Linked DNA regions of Arabidopsis thaliana. The protein of the gene in region 2 interacts with the protein of the main gene of each other region in a pairwise test. Each region holds a gene or a part of one and is shown on either strand. Other genes may lie near its edges. The genes, in order: AT3G62310 and AT1G17970.

The links.
Region 1: the proteins of AT1G17970 (region 2) and AT3G62310 interact in a two-hybrid assay, tested with the Arabidopsis thaliana proteins (one large-scale study listed by BioGRID).

The regions. Positions count from the first base shown.
Region 1 is NC_003074.8:23,056,622-23,062,477, forward strand, and holds AT3G62310 (RNA helicase family protein), read right to left. Parts: upstream 4,111-5,856; 5' UTR 3,941-4,110; coding exon 3,662-3,940; intron 3,531-3,661; coding exon 3,328-3,530; intron 3,238-3,327; coding exon 2,153-3,237; coding exon of another isoform or gene 1,998-2,152; exon of another isoform or gene 1,900-1,997; coding exon of another isoform or gene 1,829-1,899; exon of another isoform or gene 1,784-1,828; intron 1,782-1,783; coding exon 1,656-1,781; intron 1,561-1,655; coding exon 1,322-1,560; intron 1,242-1,321; coding exon 1,123-1,241; intron 1,025-1,122; coding exon 895-1,024; 3' UTR 619-894; downstream 1-618. Other genes in the region: DUF7 (agenet domain protein (DOMAIN OF UNKNOWN FUNCTION 724 7)), read left to right, coding at 1-460; AT3G62320 (Polynucleotidyl transferase, ribonuclease H-like superfamily protein), read right to left, coding at 5,184-5,301, 5,380-5,777. UniProt on the Arabidopsis thaliana protein: May be involved in pre-mRNA splicing.
Region 2 is NC_003070.9:6,182,877-6,188,220, reverse strand, and holds AT1G17970 (RING/U-box superfamily protein), read right to left. Parts: upstream 3,505-5,344; 5' UTR 3,190-3,504; coding exon 2,617-3,189; intron 2,051-2,616; coding exon 1,886-2,050; coding exon of another isoform or gene 1,814-1,885; exon of another isoform or gene 1,562-1,813; coding exon 1,463-1,561; intron 1,378-1,462; coding exon 1,243-1,377; intron 1,154-1,242; coding exon 1,019-1,153; 3' UTR 748-1,018; downstream 1-747. Other genes in the region: PAPS1 (poly(A) polymerase 1), read left to right, coding at 1-188, 274-341, 440-479; AT1G17960 (Threonyl-tRNA synthetase), read left to right, coding at 4,484-4,614, 4,726-5,026, 5,176-5,248, 5,305-5,344.

The DNA.
Region 1 (5,856 bases), on a different chromosome or scaffold from region 2:
TCTGCTAGAGAGCGAAGAAGAGTGCCGTGAAGGAGACGCCATTGGTAGAATGGTGATGTTTAGTTCGCTGTTAGAGAAAGTCAACAATCTACAAGTCGACGATCCAATAAGCTCGATTAACAGGATCGACGAGTGTTTCCTCAAGCTTGAGAAACACGGGTTCAATGTTACAACACCTCGATCTAGGATAGCCAAGATACTGTCCATTAAAGAAAGGCAGACATGCGCATTGGAGGAATTAAAAGCTGTTGAGGAAAAGATCACAGAGAATGACAATAAAAGAAGGAAGTATGAAGAAGATATTGTTGAATTGCAGAGGCAAGAAGTGTTGATGAAGGAAGCAAAAGTCACACTAGACAATGAGATAGCTCGGATGCAGTCTCAAGCAGCTGTTCTTGACCAAGAGGTTCAGAATGTAGATCACGAATTTCAGGCAATTCTCGCTGCCCCATGGAAATAAGCAAGTCGTTGATCAAACCTTTGTGTTTAAGAATAATTGAGATCTCTGTACGTTGTTGGTAGAAAACATAACTTTGACTAATATATCAAGTAATGTCTCTGTTCGCCTTGCGTCTCGTATCTCTTTTCTCTTTCAGATTTGTCAATCATGAATCATATATGAAAATTATAATCTTCCAAAATTATTATTGCTAATTGTCATAACTCATAGAGAAAGCCTGAAAGGGAACTCAGTAATAAGAATCTTCAAAGCTCTTAAAAGAAACAACCATTTGGGTCAAATGCAAATATTTGTTTCAACACAACAGCTCCGAAAACGATAATTGCTAGAATCTTATGATCAAATAGGTAACTATAATTATGAAACAGGCTTCACGGATTGGTCCTCTTGTCCAAGTAGAATCAGATGCCGACATGAGAGGATAAGATTCTCCTTCATTTCCGGTTCTTCTTGCTCTCTTCCTTCTCCCTTTCTCTCTTCTTATAAAGCTTCTCGATTACACGTTTGGCTTCACAGTTGGGAAAGTTCGAAAGATCGTAATAATGAGAAGCAACATCAACTAGCCTATGAATCCACATGGCAAAAGAGAGATTTTTTTAGAAAAGAAAACCTCCGAGAGATAATAACCAAAGAAAACAAGAACACGAAATGCAAGAACTTACCATTCACCACGAATGTCTGTCACAGTTCTGATGAAATTCCGGCTAGTCAAAACATATTCGTTGTAGATTACCCACTCCGGTTTGTGATCCAAGCAATTGGATGGATGCAAATGAACCACCTGCCAATATAACCATCAGATTAGAACAAAGAGAAACATTTTAAATGGAAACAACCTAAACTGAATTTGTTTTGACATACTTGGTTGTCTTTGACGGTCAAGTAATGGCCAGTACGTTCTAAGTGAGCCACTTGCATGAAATAACCGGCAAGCATGGCCTTCCTTATGTTGATGTAGTAGTCGCGGCTGTTAAAATCAGTGCTGCACATCTTCAGGTTGAATCTTGACATTATCCGGACTAGCTGCTGTCTAACATTGTCTGCAGATTTCATCGCTCTATTGTTGATGAAGTTTTCATAGCACCAATTTGGATCCTCATCTGCGAGAATTCACATTGATCAAGTTAGTTACAGTCATTACATTTGTCTAAAGCAACTATAAACCAATGAGGAAGATAAAGGGATAATCACTTACTGTTTTGCTTGAAAGCGTGGTAGACATTCAACAATGTGAGGTGATCTCCCTCAATGTGTCCAAACCTAGCTTTAGCTTCATCTGCTGCTTTTTGAGCCTCTCTAGGCCGAATAAAGCAATTCGGTACTAGAGAAAGAATTGGTAATTATAACAGAAGAGGTCCAGGGAAGAGGTCAGCAGATGCATAGAGGCGATGAGACTGATACCATTTGCTTCATGAGAGAGAATAACTGAGAAACTGCAACTATTTGCATCAACAATTGCTTAGGACACCCCCTAACCATGGATATGCAGAATCCACACTAGAGACAGCTGATGACAACCTAACTCTATTACTTAATTCTAAATGACAATTATACACATGAACGATAAAAGATGAGATCTAATGCACATTAGAATATATGCAGAATGGAAACTGCCAGCAAGTTTACGCCTACCCTTAACTACATACCTAACCCAAGGTAGCAAAAACAAAAAGATAAAGGTAAAGGGCGTACCTGATAGCATAGCTGAAACTGAGAGAATCTCGTTTGAGCAGTTGAATTCAGGACTGACTATGAGCATCTTTGCCATCTGTGGATCCAAGGGGAACTCACTCATGATCTCACCTGTCTTTGTCAAGTTACCATCATCATCCAGTGCTCCCAAGTAATTCAAAACTTCTAAGGCTCGCATCAGTGTTTCGGGAGCAGGGGGATCCATAAAATCAAAGTGCACCAAGTCATCAATACCCAGTTTTTTCAAGGTCAGAACTGTATTTGCAAGGTTTGATCTCAATATTTCAGGATACGTCTGCGGCTGCAAGTCATTATTAAAACTCTTCTCTGTGTAAAGCCTGAAGCATTTTCCAGGCCGTGTTCTACCGGCACGACCAGATCTCTGGTGAGCACTTGCCTTTGAAATTGGGGACACCAACAAAGACTCAACACGGATTCGAGGGTTATAGACTTTTTGCTTAGCAAAACCAGGGTCAATGACGTAGACAATCCCATCTATGGTGAGAGAAGTCTCAGCAATGTTAGTGGAGACAACAATCTTTCTCCCAGGAGGACCACCTTCTGTTACAGGCTCTGGAGCAGGATCAAATATCTTCTGCTGCATCGCAGGTGGAAGAGTAGAATACAGTGGCACTACTTTAATAGGCCCCACTTGATCCCCAAGATTACCAACCTCTTTATTGATTTTGCGGCATGCATCTTCAATCTCCTCCTCCCCAGTTAAGAAAACAAGAATATCGCCAGGTGGCTCACACATGTGAATCTGGACAACAGTTCTAATAGCAGCCTCAAGATAGTCCCTCTCAGGCTCCTGAGTGTAAAAGATCTCAACTGGATGAAGCCTACCAGGAACTTTCATCAGAGGAGCACCGCTAAAATAATCCTGAAACTTTTCAGCTTCTAGAGTTGCACTCATCACAACTAACTTAAGATCAGGTCTATTTTTCAACACTTCTTTCAGAAGACCAAACAGCACATCTGTGGCTAGAGTCCTTTCGTGGGCCTCATCAAGAATAATGACTTTGTATCTCTCTAGAAGAGGGTCCGCCATTGCTTCTCTCAGGAGCATACCATCAGTCAAGTACCTGGTCATAGTGAGTAACACATGATTAGATACAAGTCCACAAATACATCAATTATAAAGATGAGAAGCTAAAAGAAGAGACAATGCTTACTTAAGAACCGTTCTGGGGCTACTGCAGTCCTCGAAACGGATGCTGTAACCAACTTCTTCCCCAATAGTTACATCCATCTCTTCAGCAACACGACGGGACACAGACATGGCAGCAACTCTACGAGGCTGTGTGCATCCAACCAACCACTTCCTACGCTTATCCGATGTTTCAGCATCCACAGCATCTATCACAAACTGTGGAATCTGTACAAATAAACAAAATTCAGCATTAGCCTTTCATTCTCTAGACAAAAGAAACTCTCCTCCATATACAATCATTCCCAAGCCTACATATCAAATTCCAAATATCTGAATGGAAAAGATGAAAACTTTACCTGAGTAGTTTTACCACTACCGGTTTCACCAACCAGAATTAGGGTTTGATTGTTGTTCAACGTTTTGAGAAACTCCTCTTTCTGCAGCCAGACAGGTAGAGTCCTCCGTTTCTCCAGAATGTCATAATATCTCTGTGAATAAGGCTTCCCGTTCCATTTATTGATCAGACTGTTGATTCCGCCGTCGGGAAGACCACTGGTTTTGGCGTTCTTCGCCGGAGCAGACGGATCGTCCATAACATCGAACAGACTAATTTTCCTCTTTCTCTCAGTACCCATCACGATACTTCTCTTACGAACAAATTACGGAGGTAAGAGAGATAGGACGAGGAAGCACAAGGCAAGGCCTTTAGCAAGAAGCAAGAACGATGATGAATGAAAATTTTATGAAAGCTAGGGTTCGGCTGCGTGAGTTAGAAGAAGAGAGAGGCGGCTTAAGTTTAATTATAATTTTCAATTTGACCCCAAATCTAAACAATATATACTTTAGCCCCCTCAAAATATTTGGAAAAGGAGCCAAGTGTTAGTTATGTTGGCTAATATAGGCTTTTGTAATAAGTATAAAGTTGTCAGGCCGGCCCAATATCTGAATATACTGAAATTATCGTCTTAACACTTCGAATTCATATTTTACTGGAATAATGAGGGTACATGATGAATCCAAGTGCTCAAGATATACTTGCATCTTTATAGGTAAAAGGGAATTTCAAAAGCCACATCATTTGGAGAGGAAACCGAAGAGTCGAAAGTTAAATGCATGTAGTACAGCTGTCTTGACCTTTAAGATTCATGAGGCAAATATTAGTAATGTCATAACGTTAGATTTCAAAAGCCACATCATTTGGAGAGGAAACCGAAGAGTCGAAAGTTAAATGCATGTAGTACAGCTGTCTTGACCTTTAAGATTCATGAGGCAAATATTAGTAATGTCATAACGTTAGATTTTATCTTCCTGAATAAGTTCTTCATGGCAACACATAAACCATTCCATCAAGTCTTCAAAATGCAATAATGCCTAAACTGAAACAAATCTTCTGTACACAATCAGACAGACTAAAAAGGTCTAATAACGATTGTAGGCTTATCCATTGTCTCTGCCGTTGGATTCCAGTACCCATAATTTTAAATTTTTAAAAGAGCCCAACTGTTCCAGGTTTGTGGGCTAATAATAGATTTGTAATAGGTTTTAAAATTTCAGGCCCAGCCCAATAATTAACGAGATGACAAGCCGAATATTTGTACCTTTTATGGACTAAATTATTTTGGTGAGAAGATTCAACCCTTTGGTAGCCGGGTAAAGTAATGGGGGTTGCGATTTACGAATGTCGCGTGTTGCAAAGTGATGAAGTTTCTAACAAGTAACAATCCCATACGGGCATACCTTACCAAATATTAGACCTTGGGGCCAAAATGATTTAAGATGGTGACAAAATCGTCCATTGAACTGCAGGCAATTGACGAGCAAAACAAGACAAAACATAGGAGAGACCGAAACAAACAAAAAAACAAACAGAGGCATGACTCAATACATAGCTTCTCTAATCAAATTCCCAACTTTGAAAGCCAAGTAAGCATTCGCTGCTGCAAGATTGATCTGATCCTCGGTAAGACTGTCATTGTCCCAATCTTCATAGATAGGGCTTGTTGGTTTCCAAAACGAGACCCAATGACTGAAATGAAGTTTGATCTCGCCACGAATCTAGCTGAGAGAGGCCCACGACGAAGGTCCGATATCAACGGCATTCTTGCAGGTCAAACCACACTCGCTCTTGAGCATTTTCAAAGCCTTGTTTATACCAACACCTGTAAAGGTGAAATCTGGAAGATTGAGGAAATTGGTGAGAGAAACGGGCAGCTTATTACCTTGTACATAAGGAAGCGGGATTATTAGGCAATTCTGGCCATCACTGAGCTCGAGAATCACGAGCTTGCTCTCCGGTGGGTATTCGCTATCGCCTCCTACAACCGATCGTTCTGTATCCAGACCGATGATTTTGTTCGCGTTTTCTTTATTACACAGAAATGTTCTCACTTCACTGGTAATGTCTCTGTCATTTCTAGCCACTGTCACTCTGATGCGACCACCATATCCAGTTTCTACAGTGGATGTCGACATCTCTCAAAGGTAAGGAGAGAATGGGATATATGTTTAAAACTTGGGAGATGCGTCCGCCATTATATAGGCGTAAAGGGAA
Region 2 (5,344 bases):
TAGAAAAGATAGCCACTCCTCAAGCTCATGAAACTGAGGAGCTTGAAGAAAGTTTTGATTTTGGAAACCAAGTGATTGAGCAGATATCTCATAAAGTTGCAGTCCTGTCTGCTACTGCAACTATACCTCCATTCGAAGCTACTTCAAATGGCTCTCCTTTCCCTTATGAAGCAGTGGAAGAACTTGAGGTTTCTTATTTTTCTTATCAATTTTCGATACATAAATTGTTCTCTTGATCTTATTCCTCCTGTCTGATTTCTCTTTTGTTGAAAGGTTCTTCCCACGCGACAGCCCGATGCGGCACATAGACCTTCAGTACAACAGCGAAAACCGATAATCAAGTAAGTGATTTTGTGTCTATGTTTACTCTTAACGTTTGAATATACATTTTTGGATTTTGACAAAGATTGTTTGTTTTTGTTTGTCTGATTATTCGCAGATTGAGCTTCACGTCTCTAGGCAAAACCAATGGCAAGTAATAATGGCTTTTCCCTACATTGCCAAGAATCTCAGAGCACTTACGGAAATTCGAGATGTTAAGTTGAGGGGTTCTTGTTACTTTATGTCTTATATTTATATGCTTTTCTTAGATGTTGCATGATCTCATGTAAAACTCGTTTGGATAAGATTAATGTAATGTGTTCTTGTCTATGGATCCCAAACACTTTTTCTGTCATAAATAAAAGTCTGGGTTGAGTTTACTTCACATATATATATAAATGCAGACTCAAACGTTAAAACATTGATTCTTAGTTACGTGCGTGTATGCTATATGCTAAATTACTCTCTACCTGTCTTAAATCTACCTAGGCAACAGAAAACATAGATTTCAAACTCTTGATTTCAATCACATAAATAGACCCAACAAAGAATATAAGATCTTAAAAAAAAAAAATTGTGATTGCTAAATGCAAAAACAACAAATATGAATCAAGTATCAGATGATACAGATCTCTATACAGCAAGGTGGCTTGAAAGATCTTGAGCTATCAGAAACCCGACGAGATACAAAAGTCTTTTAAGGCTTGCCATATGCTGCCTTCTTACAGACCGGACAAGCATTCTTCCTCGAAAGCCATTGTTTCACGCAATGGACATGAAAGCTGTGTCCACAGTTCAATTCCCCAACCTCATCCTCTCTCTCATACTCATCCTGTCACCATCAAACAATAAGGAATAGCATTATGAAACTCATGATCTGTCTGAAGTTTCGAGAAGCCATTGACTCAATCTGGAGTTTACCTGACAGATGCTACATTTTCTATCAACAAGAGTATGTGATACGGATGGTTTGATTTTCCCAAGACAACGATGTATCTCGCTTTCTTTTAGTCCAGTATTCACATAACCAATTCTATCACCAAGCTCAAGAAGTTGCTGCGTAGACCAAAGCAAACACACTCGATAAAGTTGAGAAGATGAGATTGCAAGTGTTTTTCTCATGAGATTTTGAAAAACATACCTCGTATGACATGCTATCAACATCGAGCCTCAATTCGTGGTAGTTATCACGGGAATCTGTTATTCTTCCCATTACAAAACCATTCTGGAGCATCCTCATCTGCAGTGAACAGCAGGAACATGACTACACTAGCTGCATGGTTTAGTTCTTTAACTTGCTCACTTGCTATTAGCCATCCAAAACAGTTTTACAGCACCATACAGCACCAAAGAGAACGATTACATTATTTGTCTTCCACTCTATCAGTCACTAGAATATGTAAGAGACAACTCTAGAATAATCTCTTAGTTGATATGAAGCCAAGTGACAAGTCAAACCTTAACATAGTGTTGAGTGTGATCAGTTAATAAACTAAGAAGTCAAATCTATAACATTTACCAGATGCAAGAAAGACAAGGCAACTATTTGGCAAGAACATTCTACCTCGGTAAGATCATCAGGGTAAGAGCGTGGAAGATGGCCACGACATCTACTTGACAACATCGTTGGTTCAGCGCGTGATGATGTCACAAAAGTAGAATCAGAGTTGAAGATATCATGAGAATGAGTTTCTTGATTGAGAAACCGAATGGGAAGAACAGAAGAACCCTGCAGAACATTTGTAGCATTGTGTTATCATTTCTCAAACACTTAGACATGATGATAGATTCCTAATTTTCAAGTCCTCTGAAGCAATGCGTTTCTTTGATCAAAATAAATCCAACAACTCCCCTAACCAATTGAATCCAACCAAAAAGAAACTTAAACAATGCTAAGATTCCATCCTCTAGCTAAACGAGACAAAAGCATGATAAGATTCCATTCTCTAACCAAACCAGAGTTCGATTAGTTTATTGAGCATCAAACCCAAAAGAACCACCCGCACGTCAAACAAAGAAATTTTCTATATTATCCTCACATGAAACAAAAACTAATAATAGAGAACCGCTACATCTAAAGTAGACCCTTATGATTTGTCTAAACGAGAATCCAAACACATATATTAATAAACCAAACCAAACTAACAATGGCCCAGCAATTGGCATAGAGCTAACTACAACCACTAGAGCTCCAACCACTCCACACAGTTTCTGCCTAAACGATACCATTTCCTCAAAGTCAAAGTCAATAACATAATAACACTAAATTCATCATCCAACTTTAGATCAATTTACCAGTGTGTGATTATAATTGTTGTTATCCACATCAATTTTGCGACGAGACGACGGAATATTCCTTCCCCGAGGAGGATCAACCGATCGACCAATTACAGCATCCGTGGAGAAGCCTAATCCAGGTCTGCACCAAACATCAATAACGTCTCTAGCTTCTTCGCTTAAAATCCTAATCGAACCATCTTCGTAGCTTCCTTTATTCTTCTTTTTCTTTTTCTTATGCTTATGCTTCTTCTTCTTCTTATCTTTTCTAATTCTGGCATCCAAATCCGCGGAGTAGCGAATGACGGAGGGAACAGAAACCTCTTGAGCTGCTGCTGCTGCTGCGGCATAGCAACCCATCCCTCGAAACGACGACGTTTGGTACGGTTTCTTCCTCGTGCTTTCGTTGGAGGAGGAAGTCGGGAGGGGAAAGAAGGAAGACATTGCGGAGTTACAGAAGCGATTAGGTTGTGAAATCGGAAGAACGACGTGGCTTAGCGGCGGATCATCGTCGGCGGCGTGGAGATGACGGATTGTTTGGTTTCTAGCTCGTCGGAGTCTGATGTGCTCGCCGATTGTTGTAGAAGACATTCTCAAAGAAAGAAAGTAAAGGAGATAATGGAAATGTGGGAGAGAGAGAGCGAGACACAGTGCGCGGGGAAGGATGAAAGAGAGTGATTTCAAGCTTGATGATGATGATGATACAGTTTTTGTATAATGATTATAGCTTTTCCTATATAATACTATTAAAGATTTTTTAGTTTTTGTTTTTACATGCAACCATTAGTATGAGATTCCAAACAAAATCAGCTCATGCATATCTTTTGTGAATACTACCAAATTAGAAATAATGATTTTATAAGAGATATTGTTTAGGTTAATTTGAGTATTTCTCTGGGTTTTTAACTTTTTTTGGGCAATTTAGTTTAATGATTTTGCTTATTTTTGGTTTTTCTATTCCAGAAAAGTAAATTTTAAAATTTTTAAAATGATGCTTGCTTGTAAAAATAGGAAAGGTGTCAGTCACTACATGACTCTTTTAAGTCGAAACAATCTTGTTAAATAAATAAAAAGAGAGAGAGTGATTAGATATTATTTTGGTAGAGATAAAGAAGAGACACAAAGTCCAGCTGAAACATCCTACGATAAGCTTAAACATCAAAAGACCACTTCTTTGGTTGGTTTTAATATTTGAACAATCCTCGTATACATAAAGTTGGCACTCTTGAGCTTTGAAGACATCCAGCAAAGCCTTGATGGTTGATGCTCATCGCCACGAAGCCTGAACCGTTTTCCTTTCCAATATTACATTATTGTCTACCAGACCCGGTTCAACCAAATCGAACCCGACTACATTTTTGTAACACGAAACCATCCGAGAACGTTGCAAAACTGATTCTAGCTTCATCATTAATAGGCTTTTAAGAGCCCAAAACTACAAATAATAAGCCCACTTCAAACTGATTTTATAGCTTCCACATTAATAGGCCTAATAATGGTCATTTGGATATTATTGAGAATGCAACAAATATAAATGTGAAACATTAAATCAAAGAAAGTCACGCCAAAATAGGTTATATACATATACTTTTAATTTGCATTTTATCAACAAAACTACAATTCAATTGAAAAGAAATTATAAATATTGTAGAAAATTATTTAAATACAAAAGGAAATTATGTAAAGTTAGGTGCATCTGCCACTTGTTGTTATTACCTTATTACAAAAAATGAAAGGAAAAGCTCTAAAGCTTGGCCCGCAAGTCACTTTAGTGTTGTAGCTATAAAAGGGAAGTTGACCTTGGGATAATCTACTCCTCTGCTCTCAACGTCATCTTCTATATTCTATAGTTTCTATTTGTCCTTCGTTCTCTGCTCATCCATCGATGGCGAATAATCATCATCCCAAGGATGAGGCTTATCTCTCATCCGTCATCCCCAAGCGTATCAGGCTCTTCGAGGAAATCCAAGCCGAGCAGCTTGAGCAGCTTCAATCTCGGCCACACGATCCAATCAAGTAAATACGTTTATGATTAATTGTTCATCATTTTCACTAGGGTGCATCAATTTGTTTGCTAAGCTAGGGTTTTGCAATTAGTTGATTTCTGGTTTTTGTTTCACTGCTTAGGATTACTCTTCTCCCCGACGGTATCGAGAAAGAAGGAAGGAGATGGGAGACCTCTCCAATGGACATCGCAGTGCAGATTTCTAAGGGTTTAGCAAAATCTGCTCTGGTTTCTTCGGTTAATCATGTCTTGTGGGACATGAATAGGCCCCTGGAAGGTGATTGTTCCTTAGAGATTTTCGGATTTGACAGCGACCAAGGCCGTAATACTTTCTGGCATTCTAGCGCCCACATTCTAGGCCAGGCTCTCGAGCAGGAGTATGGATGCAAGCTATGTATTGGACCCTGCGAACCCAGAGATGAAGTAAGAGCTTTGTTCTGTGTTTTTTCCCCTTAATTATGTTTCTTTGGCTAAAAGAGTAAAAAAAGGAGGAGTCAATATTGTTTGGTTCTTGGTATTTCATCTGTAATGTTGCAAAGACGGGCTATCTCTGATGGTAATTGTTATTGCAGGGCTTCTATTACGATTCACTTTATTATGGCGAGCTGGGATTAAACGACAATCATTTTCCAAACATCGAAGCAAGTGTTGCATATATATCTTTTGCTGACATCTTTTTTGTTTTGCGGTATGGAATGTAGAATTACCCATTAGAATGGCCGAATTTGGAGTGTTACACCG